Arabidopsis thaliana: one gene and its partner. The protein of the gene in region 1 purifies or fractionates together with the protein of each later gene. This does not show direct contact. Each region holds a gene or a part of one and is shown in the gene's direction. Other genes may lie near its edges. The genes, in order: LIG1 and ATMND1.

Region 1 (7,744 bases):
TAGAGCAACTTCCCCATCTAAAGACTCTCCAATGGAATGTTGTGTTCTTCACCTAATAGAGTTATTGGGTCAAGCTACTCCCACGTTTATCTCCCACCAGCTTCAAAAACCAAAGCCTGGAAGTCGGTCTTATTCCGAAAATGTCATAAGCTCTTTCCAACTGTTTCAAGAGGTTTATTGGGACTCCGCTTCCATAAACATGTTCACGTCTTTAACTTCCGCTAAAGAGATGCATGAACAAATATGTTGGTTTGCTCTTAGTCAAGGTTCCAATCTTATTCTCCTCTCGTTTCACCGCACTTGGGAGCCTAACGGAAATGTCATTATCTCAGACGATCAAACCCTAAGAAGTCTTAATCTTAATGTTCTGAAACGCGCCCCTTGTTCTGTCGGAATCTTTGTTTATCGCAAACCAATTTGGCAAACCAAAGCCCTAGAATCTCCGTGCCGTGTAAGTAACTACATTCTTTTTTTTTTGTTTTTTTTTGTTTATTCTAAATGATGTTGAATATTTTTTATTTTCATACATTAAATGCAGGTGTGCTTGATTTACGTGGGTGGGAATGACGACAAAGAGGCCCTGGCATTAGCTGACCACATGAGAGGTAACCAACAAGTGATTCTAACGGTCTTGCGTCTGATCCCTACGTCTTATGCCGATGAGAGTAGCTTGAGGATTCATAGCCAAATGGTAGACATGAACCGTCATGAAGACCAAAGGCCTGGAGATAAGTCAACCATCATTGACTGGACGGTGGGAGATGGCACAGAGACATCCAAAATTTTGCACTCCGTGTCTTACGACTATGATCTATTCATAGTCGGTCGAAGAAGTGGGGTTGGTACTACAGTCACCAGAGGACTCGGGGATTGGATGGAATTCGAAGAACTTGGAGTCATTGGAGATTTGTTAGCATCTGAATATTTTCCTTCTAGAGCCTCCGTGTTAGTCGTCCAACAACAAGAGTGAGAAGCATTTATCCTGAAATTGAGTTAGCTTCAATCTTGGTTTATTTTCCTTATTGAAATTAAGATCCTTTACAAACAAAGTGTAACGGATCTTATAGGAAGCACACAATAGATTTTTTTGTGTTGTAAGGACTACAAAACACATGTTCATCATTCATGTATAGGGGAGAAATACATATACTAGGTGATGAGAAGGTAAATCATCGATCCCACAAATTAACAGGCGGATTTAGTGAAGAAATACAGGGTGCATGTGCAACCACTAAATTATTGAAATATGTGTTTTATTTTAATTCTACACTAAGATTTGTATCCTAATTGGCCAATTAAACAAGATAAAGATTAAAAGTTGAGGAACTCGTAAACAGCCCTTCACGCGCTTAATTTTTTAATTTTACGGAAAACAGCAATTTCGCATGGATTTCGGATAGGTGGCGTCTACGCGCTCATTGTGCGAATGAGTAAGATACTTAGATTTCACAGTTCGATAACCATACGCGTCACGTTTGGGCTGACATTATACTGTCTATTGGGCTATAACGATATTTTTTCCATATCATAGACCCACATAAAATAAAAAGGCCCAATAACAAAAATTTAAAACTAGGGCACAGTTTAGTGTATGAGTATCCATTAGTGATAGCATTTGATGTAATTTATAAAATATTATATTTACAATAACCTTTGAAATAATCATCACAATTTTGTCCAAATTTGAAGTTTTCAAAAAAATAAAATTTGATCATTGGGATCTATTAAAGATTTGGACTAACCCTAATTAGTAATTACAGGTAGAAACTCTGGATAAAAAATCGTATTCTTTCGGCAAATCCGAACCATCTTAAGATATCTTAGCCCGCTTCTTCAGGTGGTCCTAATTTGGCCCAACATAAAGGAGAGAGTGGCGGGTGAGAAATTCTGCCGCCAATATATTATCACCTTTCTTCAAGGTTGCAAACTTGCAACACCTGTCCTTTCTAAAACCCTAATTTCAAAATCGACTGATGTTAGCGATTCGATCGTCGAATTACCTCCGATGCATACCTTCTCTCTGTACTAAAACCCAAATCTCTCAATTCTCCTCCGTGTTAATCTCTTTTAGCCGCCAAATTTCCCACTTGCGTCTTAGCTCGTGCCATAGAGCCATGTCTTCTTCCCGCCCTTCTGCATTTGATGCTCTCATGTCCAATGCTCGTGCAGCCGCCAAGAAGAAGACTCCCCAGACAACTAATTTGTCTCGCTCGCCGAACAAAAGGAAAATTGGAGAAACCCAAGATGCTAATTTGGGCAAAACTATTGTTTCCGAAGGTACACTTCCAAAAACGGAGGATCTGCTGGAGCCTGTTTCTGATTCTGCAAATCCCAGATCGGATACATCGTCAATTGCGGAGGATTCAAAGACGGGAGCGAAAAAGGCTAAGACTTTGAGCAAGACAGACGAAATGAAGAGCAAAATTGGATTGCTGAAGAAGAAGCCGAATGATTTCGATCCTGAAAAAATGTCTTGCTGGGAGAAAGGGGAGAGAGTTCCGTTTCTGTTTGTCGCATTGGCTTTTGATCTGATCTCAAATGAAAGTGGCCGGATTGTGATTACTGATATTCTGTGTAACATGTTGAGAACTGTTATTGCCACTACTCCTGAGGATTTGGTCGCTACTGTTTATCTTTCGGCGAATGAGATTGCCCCGGCTCATGAAGGTGTAGAATTGGGAATTGGTGAGAGTACAATTATCAAGGCTATCTCTGAGGCTTTTGGTAGAACTGAGGATCATGTTAAGAAGCAGAATACGGTATGTTGACTTTTTAAAACTTTTGTTGCCTTGTAATTCAATGAGCTTGTCTGGTGTGGAATTGCTATAAGGTTTTTGAATAAGAAAATTAGCAGTTCTGAAATTGAACTTGATTTATAGGAACTGGGAGACTTGGGACTTGTAGCAAAAGGAAGCCGTTCGACTCAGACTATGATGTTCAAGCCCGAACCATTGACTGTTGTCAAGGTTTTCGATACGTTTCGACAAATTGCTAAGGTATTTATAACCTTGTGGCTTTTGAATGCTTGAAATTTTGTTTATGCTTTCAATTGAGATTCAGTCAACCGTCTTTTTGTCTGACTGCATAGAAGATGAGTGGGACTATTGCATGTTAACTATTACAGGAAAGTGGAAAAGATAGTAATGAAAAGAAGAAGAATCGAATGAAGGCACTTCTTGTGGCGACAACAGACTGTGAACCTCTTTACTTAACACGATTACTTCAGGTATGCATCAACCGCCACTATTTTTCTGCTTATCCGTTTGGGTTCCTTATTTCGCCCTTCTTAATTTACCTTGCAGGCAAAATTGCGGTTAGGGTTCTCAGGTCAGACTGTCTTAGCCGCATTGGGACAAGCCGCTGTATATAATGAAGAGCACTCAAAGCCACCCCCAAATACCAAGTCTCCTTTAGAAGAGGTCTGCTATCTCTTTTTGTTTTTGTATCTCCCACTTATATATCAGAATCCTTCTTTCCGAGTTTTGTGAGTAAAAATATATTTTCTGAGCTACTCTAAGGATGTTGTGTTGCTGTAGGATCTCTATGTAGTATTCTTTGAGAGACGTCACAATTTACCTTCTATGCATTTCTGTAATCTTATGCCATTACACTTCTTTCCTGGATCCATCATTCTGCTCTGTTCTTGTAGGCTGCAAAGATTGTTAAACAAGTATTCACTGTACTTCCTGTCTATGACATTATTGTTCCTGCTCTTCTAAGTGGCGGTGTGTGGAATCTTCCAAAAACTTGTAACTTTACATTGGGTGTTCCAATTGGACCCATGCTTGCAAAACCAACCAAAGGTGTAGCTGAGATACTGAATAAATTCCAGGACATCGTTTTCACATGTGAATACAAATATGATGGGGAACGTGCACAGGTGATATTTGGTGTCTACTGAATTAGGATGAATGCTATTCTTAGATATGAGTTATTTAAATATGGTATGGCTTATCATCAATCAATTTCTGCAGATACATTTTATGGAGGATGGTACATTTGAGATATACAGTCGAAATGCTGAAAGAAACACTGGGAAGTACCCGGATGTTGCTCTTGCGTTATCAAGGTAAACATCTGGTGTAACTGGTTGAAAACATTAGAGATTCAATCTTTCTACTGAAGTTAGTGAAACATCTCAATGCAGATTAAAGAAGCCTTCTGTGAAATCTTTTATTCTGGATTGTGAAGTTGTTGCTTTCGACAGGGAGAAAAAGAAAATTCTTCCGTTCCAGGTAACTCATAAGTGAATAGCGTTCTGATATTAAAGTATGGTTGCAGCCTTATATTTTGTCTATTCATTTACGGTATGTTATTTTATAGAAATGCCAGAGAAATGTTAAATGTGTTAGAGTTTCCATCTTGTTAGCCAGTGAATTAAGAAATAAGCATAGCTGTAATGCTCTTTTAGACCAGATTTTCGGGTTTTGGACACTGTCTAACCTTTAATTTTGCCAACGTTACTGAATAAACCTTGTTACACTTATGGATCTTTAATGGCACTCAGACAGTTTTGGTGATTCACCTAATTTTTGCTTATGTTTAGTGTTGGTGTGAAGAGGATTGTTAATATATATCAATTGTTATAAAGCTCCTGTTATTGGATTAATTTACATTAGTTGAAGTTAGCTATTTCAAACTATTTGACTTGATGTCTTTTTTCTCTCTCTTTTTTTTTCTTTTCTTTTTCCAGATTTTGAGCACTCGAGCCCGTAAAAATGTGAATGTCAATGATATCAAGGTTGGCGTATGCATCTTTGCTTTTGACATGTTATATCTAAATGGCCAACAACTTATCCAGGAGAATCTTAAAATTCGCCGAGAGGTGAGCAATATCTGTATATCATTATAATATTTTGTTTTTCTTTGGTTGCAGTCAAGTTCTTGTTGTGCAAATATGTAATCATTTGTGTTCACCTTGCTTCTAGCAGAAGCTATACGAATCATTTGAGGAAGATCCTGGGTATTTCCAGTTTGCAACTGCTGTAACATCTAACGATATCGATGAAATACAAAAGTTTCTTGACGCTTCTGTTGATGTTGGGTATATCTCTTGACACTTCTCTGTATCTCTAAAAAGTGCAGTAAACTTTGGTGTAAATTGTTGCATATCACTTTCTCTTTAGTAGCATATTAGTTAGAGATTTTGGTAGATATTTACTGCTTTCAGGTATTTTTTATTTTAGAGAGTTATCTTTATATGTTCAAGGGTATGATAATTTAGCAATTTGATCATACTCGTACTGATTGTTGCCTAGCATCTTCTCTTTAGCACCATCTTTCACCTTCATCTGAGTTCACATAAATTTAGAGATTCTGGTAGATATTTACTCATTTCGGGTATTCTATTTTAGATAGTTATCCAATTATCTGTTACATGTTTAAGGATATGATAAATTAACAATTTGACCATGCCTGTAGTGATATATGATATGACATTGAGTTCTGCTTCAATATCTCTATGCTGTTTCGATTTTCATGATTTGCCTTCAGGATGAAAATTGCATTTTTAGCAATTTGACCCACGCATGTTGTGATTTCTCTACACCTATGTCTATTACATAGGCCTATGCCTTTTATCTCTATGATGTTCCCGTTCATCTATATATTCTTTTTTTCTTTTGCAGCTGCGAAGGTTTAATCATTAAAACATTGGACTCAGATGCTACCTATGAGCCTGCAAAGCGATCAAATAATTGGCTAAAACTGAAGAAAGACTATATGGACAGGCAAGACTCTCTTAAACATTTTTCTTAAAAAAGTTTAAATCGAACAGTTTTTTACTGACTATAGGATTACATGTGCAGCATTGGGGACTCTGTGGATCTTGTACCAATTGCTGCTTTCCATGGACGTGGAAAACGCACAGGTGAAAACCACGAAAATACATTGGATGATACATTCTTCATTCTCTATGCTCTTAACAAAGCCTTATGATTTCCTTCTAGGTGTCTATGGTGCATTTTTACTCGCTTGCTATGATGTTGATAAGGAAGAGTTCCAGAGCATTTGTAAAATTGGTCAGTCGAATACATGAATACACCTTGGTATTTCATATTATGTATGTGTGTTCAGTTTTTCAAGTTTCTTAAACCTTGGTTATACGGTTTGGGCTACTAGGTACTGGATTTTCTGATGCCATGCTTGACGAGCGGTCGTCCAGTCTTCGCTCTCAAGTGATTGCTACTCCAAAAGTAGGATATTTTCTTCTTCCTTATCATATATGTCTCTAGCATGAATTCTTATTTAATTGTAATGATTCAAATATCCAGCAATACTACCGAGTTGGAGACAGCCTCAATCCAGATGTTTGGTTTGAGCCCACTGAGGTAGGATTATGTTTGCTTGTACTCAAAATGTTATCTTATATTTATTAGTTTCGCCATTCTATCGTATGGGTTGAAATGAAAGGTAAAAAATATGTTTGCTTAAAGGTCTGGGAAGTGAAAGCAGCTGACTTAACAATTAGCCCTGTGCACCGTGCAGCTACTGGCATAGTGGATCCTGATAAGGTTTAACTTTCTCCGACTTATTTTCTTCTTTTTCCTTTTTGGTTTGAATATCTCTGCTGATATATTGTTACGTATTGGTTTTCAATTTTGTTTCGTTAAAAGGGGATTTCTCTTCGTTTTCCTCGTCTACTTCGTGTACGGGAAGACAAGAAGCCCGAGGAAGCAACATCATCTGAGCAGGTGAAGTTTCATTCTAATTACACTCATATGTTTTCAATACTGGAAAGACAAGACCAGACTGGTTTTGAAACTCTTTTCCTTTTTCTAATTCTCAATTTTCCCTGCACATTTTCAGATTGCTGATTTGTACCAAGCTCAGAAACACAATCATCCAAGTAATGAAGTCAAAGGTGACGATGATTGAACAACAGTAATCTGGCCTCAGAGCACATTTCCTCGTATGTACGACATTGCTCGTAACTTGCTAATGATGCACATTGCGTGTTTGAGTTTTCAACTGTAACTGCTTATGTAAAACTGCTTTTAGGAAAAGTGAATGAAAGGTTCTGGAAAAAAATTGGTACACTCATCAACTGACTCTGGAATGAATAAAAACACTGCCCTGATTGACATCACTGAGCTATCTATGATTGGCAGAAATGTGGAATATGTTTACAGTAGAAACAGGATACTTGAGGCAAGATACAGTAACTACATCATTGGCTTATGAGTTTAATAGTTGTCAGCAGAAGACGAGCCTCTGGTTTGTAGTCTCACTCGAAGCAAGATAAATAAATAGTTAAATACTGTATAGTAGGTGGGCCTAAACCGTAGGTTTTAAAACCAATAAACATGTAATTGTAATAGGTCCACAAATTAACTCATTAAACTGGATTTGGGCCGAAGTGTAAAAAGACGAAACCTCAAAAGGCTTAAAACCTCAAAAGGCTTAAAACCTCAAAAGGCTTAACACCTCTTGGTGAGGCAGAGGTTTTGGCCTTGGGCGTCGTTTCCCATATGCTCGACTGGAACTTAAACGCCTTTACTGAAAATCTACTTGAAACGATAAATCGCCGTAGTTTGTGTTTCGATCGGACGACGAACAAATGGATCCCGACAGGTATTCCACTTTATCTATCCTCTAACTTGGCTTATGATTCATTATCAGACAATTTTTTTTGTTATAAGCTTTGCGCAAACAAATATGAAAATGGTCTTTGGTTACGGAACAATCATATTAGCTTATAGAAGCTTTAATTTCTTCGGTGGTTGTTATCTTTGCTGTCTTTCGT
Region 2 (4,839 bases), on another chromosome or scaffold:
CGATTGAATTGGGGATTTCTGAGTACAATTTATATGATCGTTTGCTTTTAAACCATATTCAAATTTTGTTGATTTGTTCATTGCAGACGCTTGAGATGCTAGAGAAAAAGGAGAAAGTACTCTTGAAGAAAGCTGGTGCAGAGGTTGAGAAGGCAAAAGAATACTCCCGGGCTAAGAACAAACGAGGTATGACCTCTTATTTATTATGACTCATGTGTGTTGCTAATCACTGGAGTACTTAAAAGCTGTATTGGGTTTTTGCAGCGGCTATACAGTGTTTGAAAAGGAAGAGGTTATATGAGGGACAAGTCGAACAGCTTGGGAATTTCCAGCTCCGTATTCATGATCAAGTGAGTTTGTTTTAAGATTGTTAACTATAAACTATATAGCAGTAATTAGATGAATTTATTGGGATCTTATATCTTTTTGTCATACAGATGATTATGTTAGAAGGTGCAAAAGCAACAACCGAAACTGTTGATGCATTGAGGAGTGGAGCTTCTGCAATGAAGGCAATGCAGAAAGCAACGTAAGTGTTCATCACATTTTCACCATATTACTCTTTACTACCATTTTAACCGTCATCAGTTCTGGGAATCGTTAATACGAGCTTGGTATTCAAAATACTTATGCTTTTCTTGTGCTTGAATGCTTTAACATTTCTAGTGCCTGACTAACTCAAAACACAATATTTTGCAGAAATATTGATGATGTGGATAAGACCATGGACGAGATCAATGAGCAAACCGAGAACATGAAACAGATCCAAGAAGCATTGGCGACTCCAATGGGGGCAGCGGCTGACTTCGACGAGGTAACTTTCTTGTACCCAAATGATCATATATTTTTCAACTAATAATGACTTTTGTCTAAGAAAAACTTCTCTTTGATAGGATGAGCTTGCAGCAGAGCTTGATGAACTAGAAAGTGAAGAGCTTGAATCGCAACTTCTACAGCCGGCAACAACAGCTCCTCCATTGCCTTCAGTTCCAGTGCCTGCAGGGCGTCAACCGGCTCGTCCTGTTCCCCAGAAGCGGACTGCTGAGGAAGAAGAACTCGCTGCATTACAGGCTGAGATGGCCCTCTAAGGTCTCTTCTATCTATAATCAAAGCAAAATCAATCAATTTGCTTACAGACTATGGATTTGTAATTTAACTAGTTTTGCAATTGGCTTGGTTTAACTGCAGGTTATTCACCTCTCCGAGCAGAGACATGTATGCATTGATAGACACGAACAGACGATGTATATAAGGATCTGAATCAGATTAATTCGGAGCGAAAAACTTTTATAATCCCCGTCGTTAATGTTATCTGCAATTTGAGTGTTCTTCACATAATTTATCTTTTGTAATTTTTGTATCTTTTTATGACACTTTTTCCTTTGGTTAATAATCACTTTACTCCTATGTTCATCACTTTCGCCTGATAAGACTACTCATGAATAGTCAACCATATACGTTGACTTCGCTGCTTTAACAAACATCATGCCGTTTTGGTACCATAAAATTGGACTCCGTGTCGTTTTAAGGTTAAATTCAAATTAATTGGAATAAAAAATGAAACAGAAAGCGAGGGATAATAACCCGCTTAAGTTTTCAAGGCTTCTTCTACAATTCTCTCATTTCGAATTTGATAAAGAGAGGAGACGATAGTGAGGGAAGAGAGTGAGAGAGAGCTGTAGCAGTGTTTGAAATCCTTTGGATTGCATCACCAGGAGCAAGAGATCACGATGGTAATATACTCTGGACGAATGTTCTCTACTTGTGATTTTGTTTCGCTAATGAACCTCTGTGATTTGTGCATTTTCCTGGGAAGATCGAGTGATTATTCTCTATGATTCTATGAATCGTGATTATCTTACACTGATGATCTTAGCTTGTGATTCTTCGACTTACAAGAGAATTTTGGATGTATTGATTCGACCTATTTGTTTGAATGTTTAGTAGTCATCGTTATGTGTTTCTCTTACTCTTCGAAGAAATTTGTTTAAACTTATCGTTCATCGGTAGTAATGTTTCTATCTTCCGTAGTTCATTACAAATTTGTGTGAGGAATTTCCGCAAACACTTGGACTGCATGACGCGAATCGATAGGTTCTCGAATTAGCATTTATCTAGCAGCCAATTCTCGCAATCAGTGTAGTCGCTGAGTTGACTGTATATATTTTTGACATTTTCGATCTGGAAACTATTTGTTGACAGATCATTTGTTGGATTTCGTCATTGAAGCTCTGAAGTTTTTTTTCGTCATTCTCGTATCAACTGAATCGCTGCTTTCTATTGTTGATGATATTCAGTCTAAGAAACGGGGACTTTCGCTGGAGGAGAAACGAGAGAAGATGCTTCAGATATTCTATGAGTCTCAAGACTTCTTCCTAGTGAGCACTTTCTTTAGTTTTTACAACTTGCTAATTTTTGGACGCCTTTGAACTAGCTTTATCTACCAAGTGATCTGATATCTAGAGTCGTGAAGTGCATATACTGCCTAAATTTGTTGCTATTGAACTTTTGGGTTTGTGATACAAGCACTTATGGGTCTCTACTTTTGTAAAAAAATTTCAGCTAAAGGAACTTGAGAAGATGGGGCCGAAGAAGGGTGTAATTAGTCAGTCTGTGAAAGATGTTATCCAGAGTTTAGTCGATGATGATCTTGTTGCGAAAGACAAGATTGGAATTTCTGTGAGTAGCTTAGTGTTCCTATGTTGGATCTTTTTATTTCATTTGTTGCCATATAGTCCTTGTCTCTGTTATATGTTGTTTGACGGTGTTCATTATTTTGCAAATGAAGATCTACTTTTGGAGCCTTCCCAGCTGTGCTGGCAATCAAGTGAGTCACCGTTCTGTATCCTGAGATGACATCAAAAAGATTCATATTAATTTGAGCATAGCGAAATTCATTGTTTCTGATCTCATTTTGAATGAACAGCTTAGGAGTGTTCGCCAGAAACTTGAATCTGATCTTCAGGGTAGTAACAAAAGGTTAGCAGAACTTGTTGATCAGTGTGAGGCCCTAAAGAAGGGAAGGGAAGAATCGGTAAGTATTTTCAGTATTGTAGAATTAATGCTCGAATAAGCTTACGTGTGCTTTTCACCAGAATTGCTGTTCTTGCTGCAGGAGGAACGAACAGAGGCCTTGACGCAACTCAAAGATATTGAAAAGAAACACAAAGATCTGAAGGTCAGATTATACAGACTATCTGTTTGCATAGAGCTATTCACATGCTTAACAAGTTGCTAACAGTTTCTTCTTCTTAAACAGAACGAGATGGTACAATTTGCTGACAACGATCCAGCTACTTTGGAGGCAAAGAGTTAAGTTCTGCATAATACGTTACTTTTGTTTTGTGTTAGATCTCCTATATGGTTTTCCCGGTCTTCGTGGAGCAGAAATAAGAATCAATCTTGTGCTTTACTAGCTGTATCAATGTGTATATTCCTTCTAATTTTGACAGGGAATGCAATTGAAGTTGCTCACCAGTCGGCTAACAGATGGACAGGTATTTCATTTCTAAAACTTGGGAATGTGTTTTCAGTTTTAATACTTACGTAATTTTCACTGCAGCCTAGATTATAATTCTTTCAAACTTACTCAGATAACATCTTCACACTGCGACAATGGTGTTCAAACAACTTCCCCCAGGCCAAGGAACAGCTAGAACATCTATACACGGAGGTATCTTCCAGATCTTTTCACTTCAAAAGGCTATAAATTCCACATTTCACATTCTCATACATGAAGGAGAGACTAAATCAGCTGGGTAACTTTCAGGCGGGAATCACTGAGGACTTTGATTACATAGAGTTATCATCATTCCCTTTGAGCTCATCCCATGAAGCTGATACCGCAAAGCAGCTAGTACAAGATGAAGCTTAGTTCTAATACTCTCCAGCATAACAGTTAAAGAAACAATAGCTTAAGTAAAAAATCTTTTCACTATCCTTTTAAGTTTTCTGGTTTTAAAGGTTGCAACAGTCTGTAATTCTCTATGTGACCCAATCATCTAATGTCAAAACTCGGTTACAAATTCTGTGGTCAGAAAAGATTTTTATTTTCTTTGTATCTGTCGGCTATGTCCAAGCTTGGCTATGTTTTGTTATAATATTTTATTGGAGTTATATATATATCATGCGTTAGTTGTTGACCCACTGGTTACTTCTTGATAGCTGTATTACCATTTTATATTCTTTCTTGGCCGCTTTTTTCAGTCGTGAGCAGCACTTATGTTATACACCTCCAGGTCAATTTTGTTGCTACCAGAAGAGGAAATGGGCATAGACTTTGTACTTTCTAGTCTTTTGTGTTTTTGTGTTATCTTAAACGCAGGTTGTCTGTTTTTCTGACGATGATGAGCTGAGCTTTACAAAATAAGAAGAACATGGGAGCTCACTCTGTTTTTCTCATCCTTTTTTCCGTCATTGCCATTGCCATTGTAGTACATGGCCAAGGCCAAGCAGGTTCGTGAGTCTCATTCTCGCTTATTTTCCTCTGTTAGAGTCTGTTTTGATTTGAAAATGAGCAATCTTCAGACCAAAGATTTTTGAAGTTTTGATATATGTGGTTGCATTTTGGCCAAAACCGTGTTCTGATTATTGGTTTGACATGATAAGTGAGGTCCAAGTCTGTTTCTATGATTGAATGCTTTAGGTTCTAAAATTTAAACCTGCATTGGAATTTTGATGAAAATTTTCTCAACGTTGTAGAATTAATCAAAACCCTTACCTTCTTCTGGTCCAGGTTTCATCAGCATAGATTGTGGGTCACCCCCTAATATTAACTATGTAGACACTGATACTGGTATCAGTTACACCTGGGATGCACCTTTCATCAACGCTGGAGTA

What was found.
Region 2: the proteins of LIG1 (region 1) and ATMND1 fractionate together in Arabidopsis thaliana (co-fractionation; one large-scale study listed by BioGRID). This does not show direct contact.

What each region holds. Positions count from the first base shown.
Region 1 is NC_003070.9:2,542,045-2,549,788, reverse strand, and holds LIG1 (DNA ligase 1), read left to right. Parts: upstream 1-1,842; 5' UTR 1,843-1,973; coding exon 1,974-2,759; intron 2,760-2,879; coding exon 2,880-2,996; intron 2,997-3,124; coding exon 3,125-3,226; intron 3,227-3,302; coding exon 3,303-3,419; intron 3,420-3,649; coding exon 3,650-3,880; intron 3,881-3,974; coding exon 3,975-4,069; intron 4,070-4,147; coding exon 4,148-4,235; intron 4,236-4,693; coding exon 4,694-4,825; intron 4,826-4,931; coding exon 4,932-5,044; intron 5,045-5,627; coding exon 5,628-5,729; intron 5,730-5,807; coding exon 5,808-5,869; intron 5,870-5,948; coding exon 5,949-6,020; intron 6,021-6,120; coding exon 6,121-6,194; intron 6,195-6,272; coding exon 6,273-6,329; intron 6,330-6,434; coding exon 6,435-6,512; intron 6,513-6,614; coding exon 6,615-6,692; intron 6,693-6,807; coding exon 6,808-6,876; 3' UTR 6,877-7,126; downstream 7,127-7,744. Other genes in the region: CHX6B (cation/H+ exchanger 6B), read left to right, coding at 1-451, 539-970; AT1G08125 (S-adenosyl-L-methionine-dependent methyltransferases superfamily protein), read left to right, coding at 7,657-7,665. UniProt on the Arabidopsis thaliana protein: Essential protein. DNA ligase that seals nicks in double-stranded DNA during DNA replication, DNA recombination and DNA repair. Involved in repair of both single strand breaks (SSBs) and double strand breaks (DSBs).
Region 2 is NC_003075.7:14,381,255-14,386,093, forward strand, and holds ATMND1 (Mnd1 family protein), read left to right. Parts: upstream 1-1,581; 5' UTR 1,582-1,730; coding exon 1,731-1,733; intron 1,734-2,202; exon of another isoform or gene 2,203-2,297; coding exon 2,298-2,378; intron 2,379-2,562; coding exon 2,563-2,679; intron 2,680-2,788; coding exon 2,789-2,827; intron 2,828-2,926; coding exon 2,927-3,034; intron 3,035-3,115; coding exon 3,116-3,178; intron 3,179-3,259; coding exon 3,260-3,311; coding exon of another isoform or gene 3,312-3,316; exon of another isoform or gene 3,317-3,452; coding exon 3,453-3,497; intron 3,498-3,593; coding exon 3,594-3,673; intron 3,674-3,769; coding exon 3,770-3,874; 3' UTR 3,875-4,211; downstream 4,212-4,839. Other genes in the region: SNF7.1 (SNF7 family protein), read left to right, coding at 87-186, 265-350, 438-529, 700-814, 894-1,088; RHS16 (root hair specific 16), read left to right, coding at 4,377-4,455, 4,736-4,839. UniProt on the Arabidopsis thaliana protein: Required for proper homologous chromosome pairing and efficient cross-over and intragenic recombination during meiosis.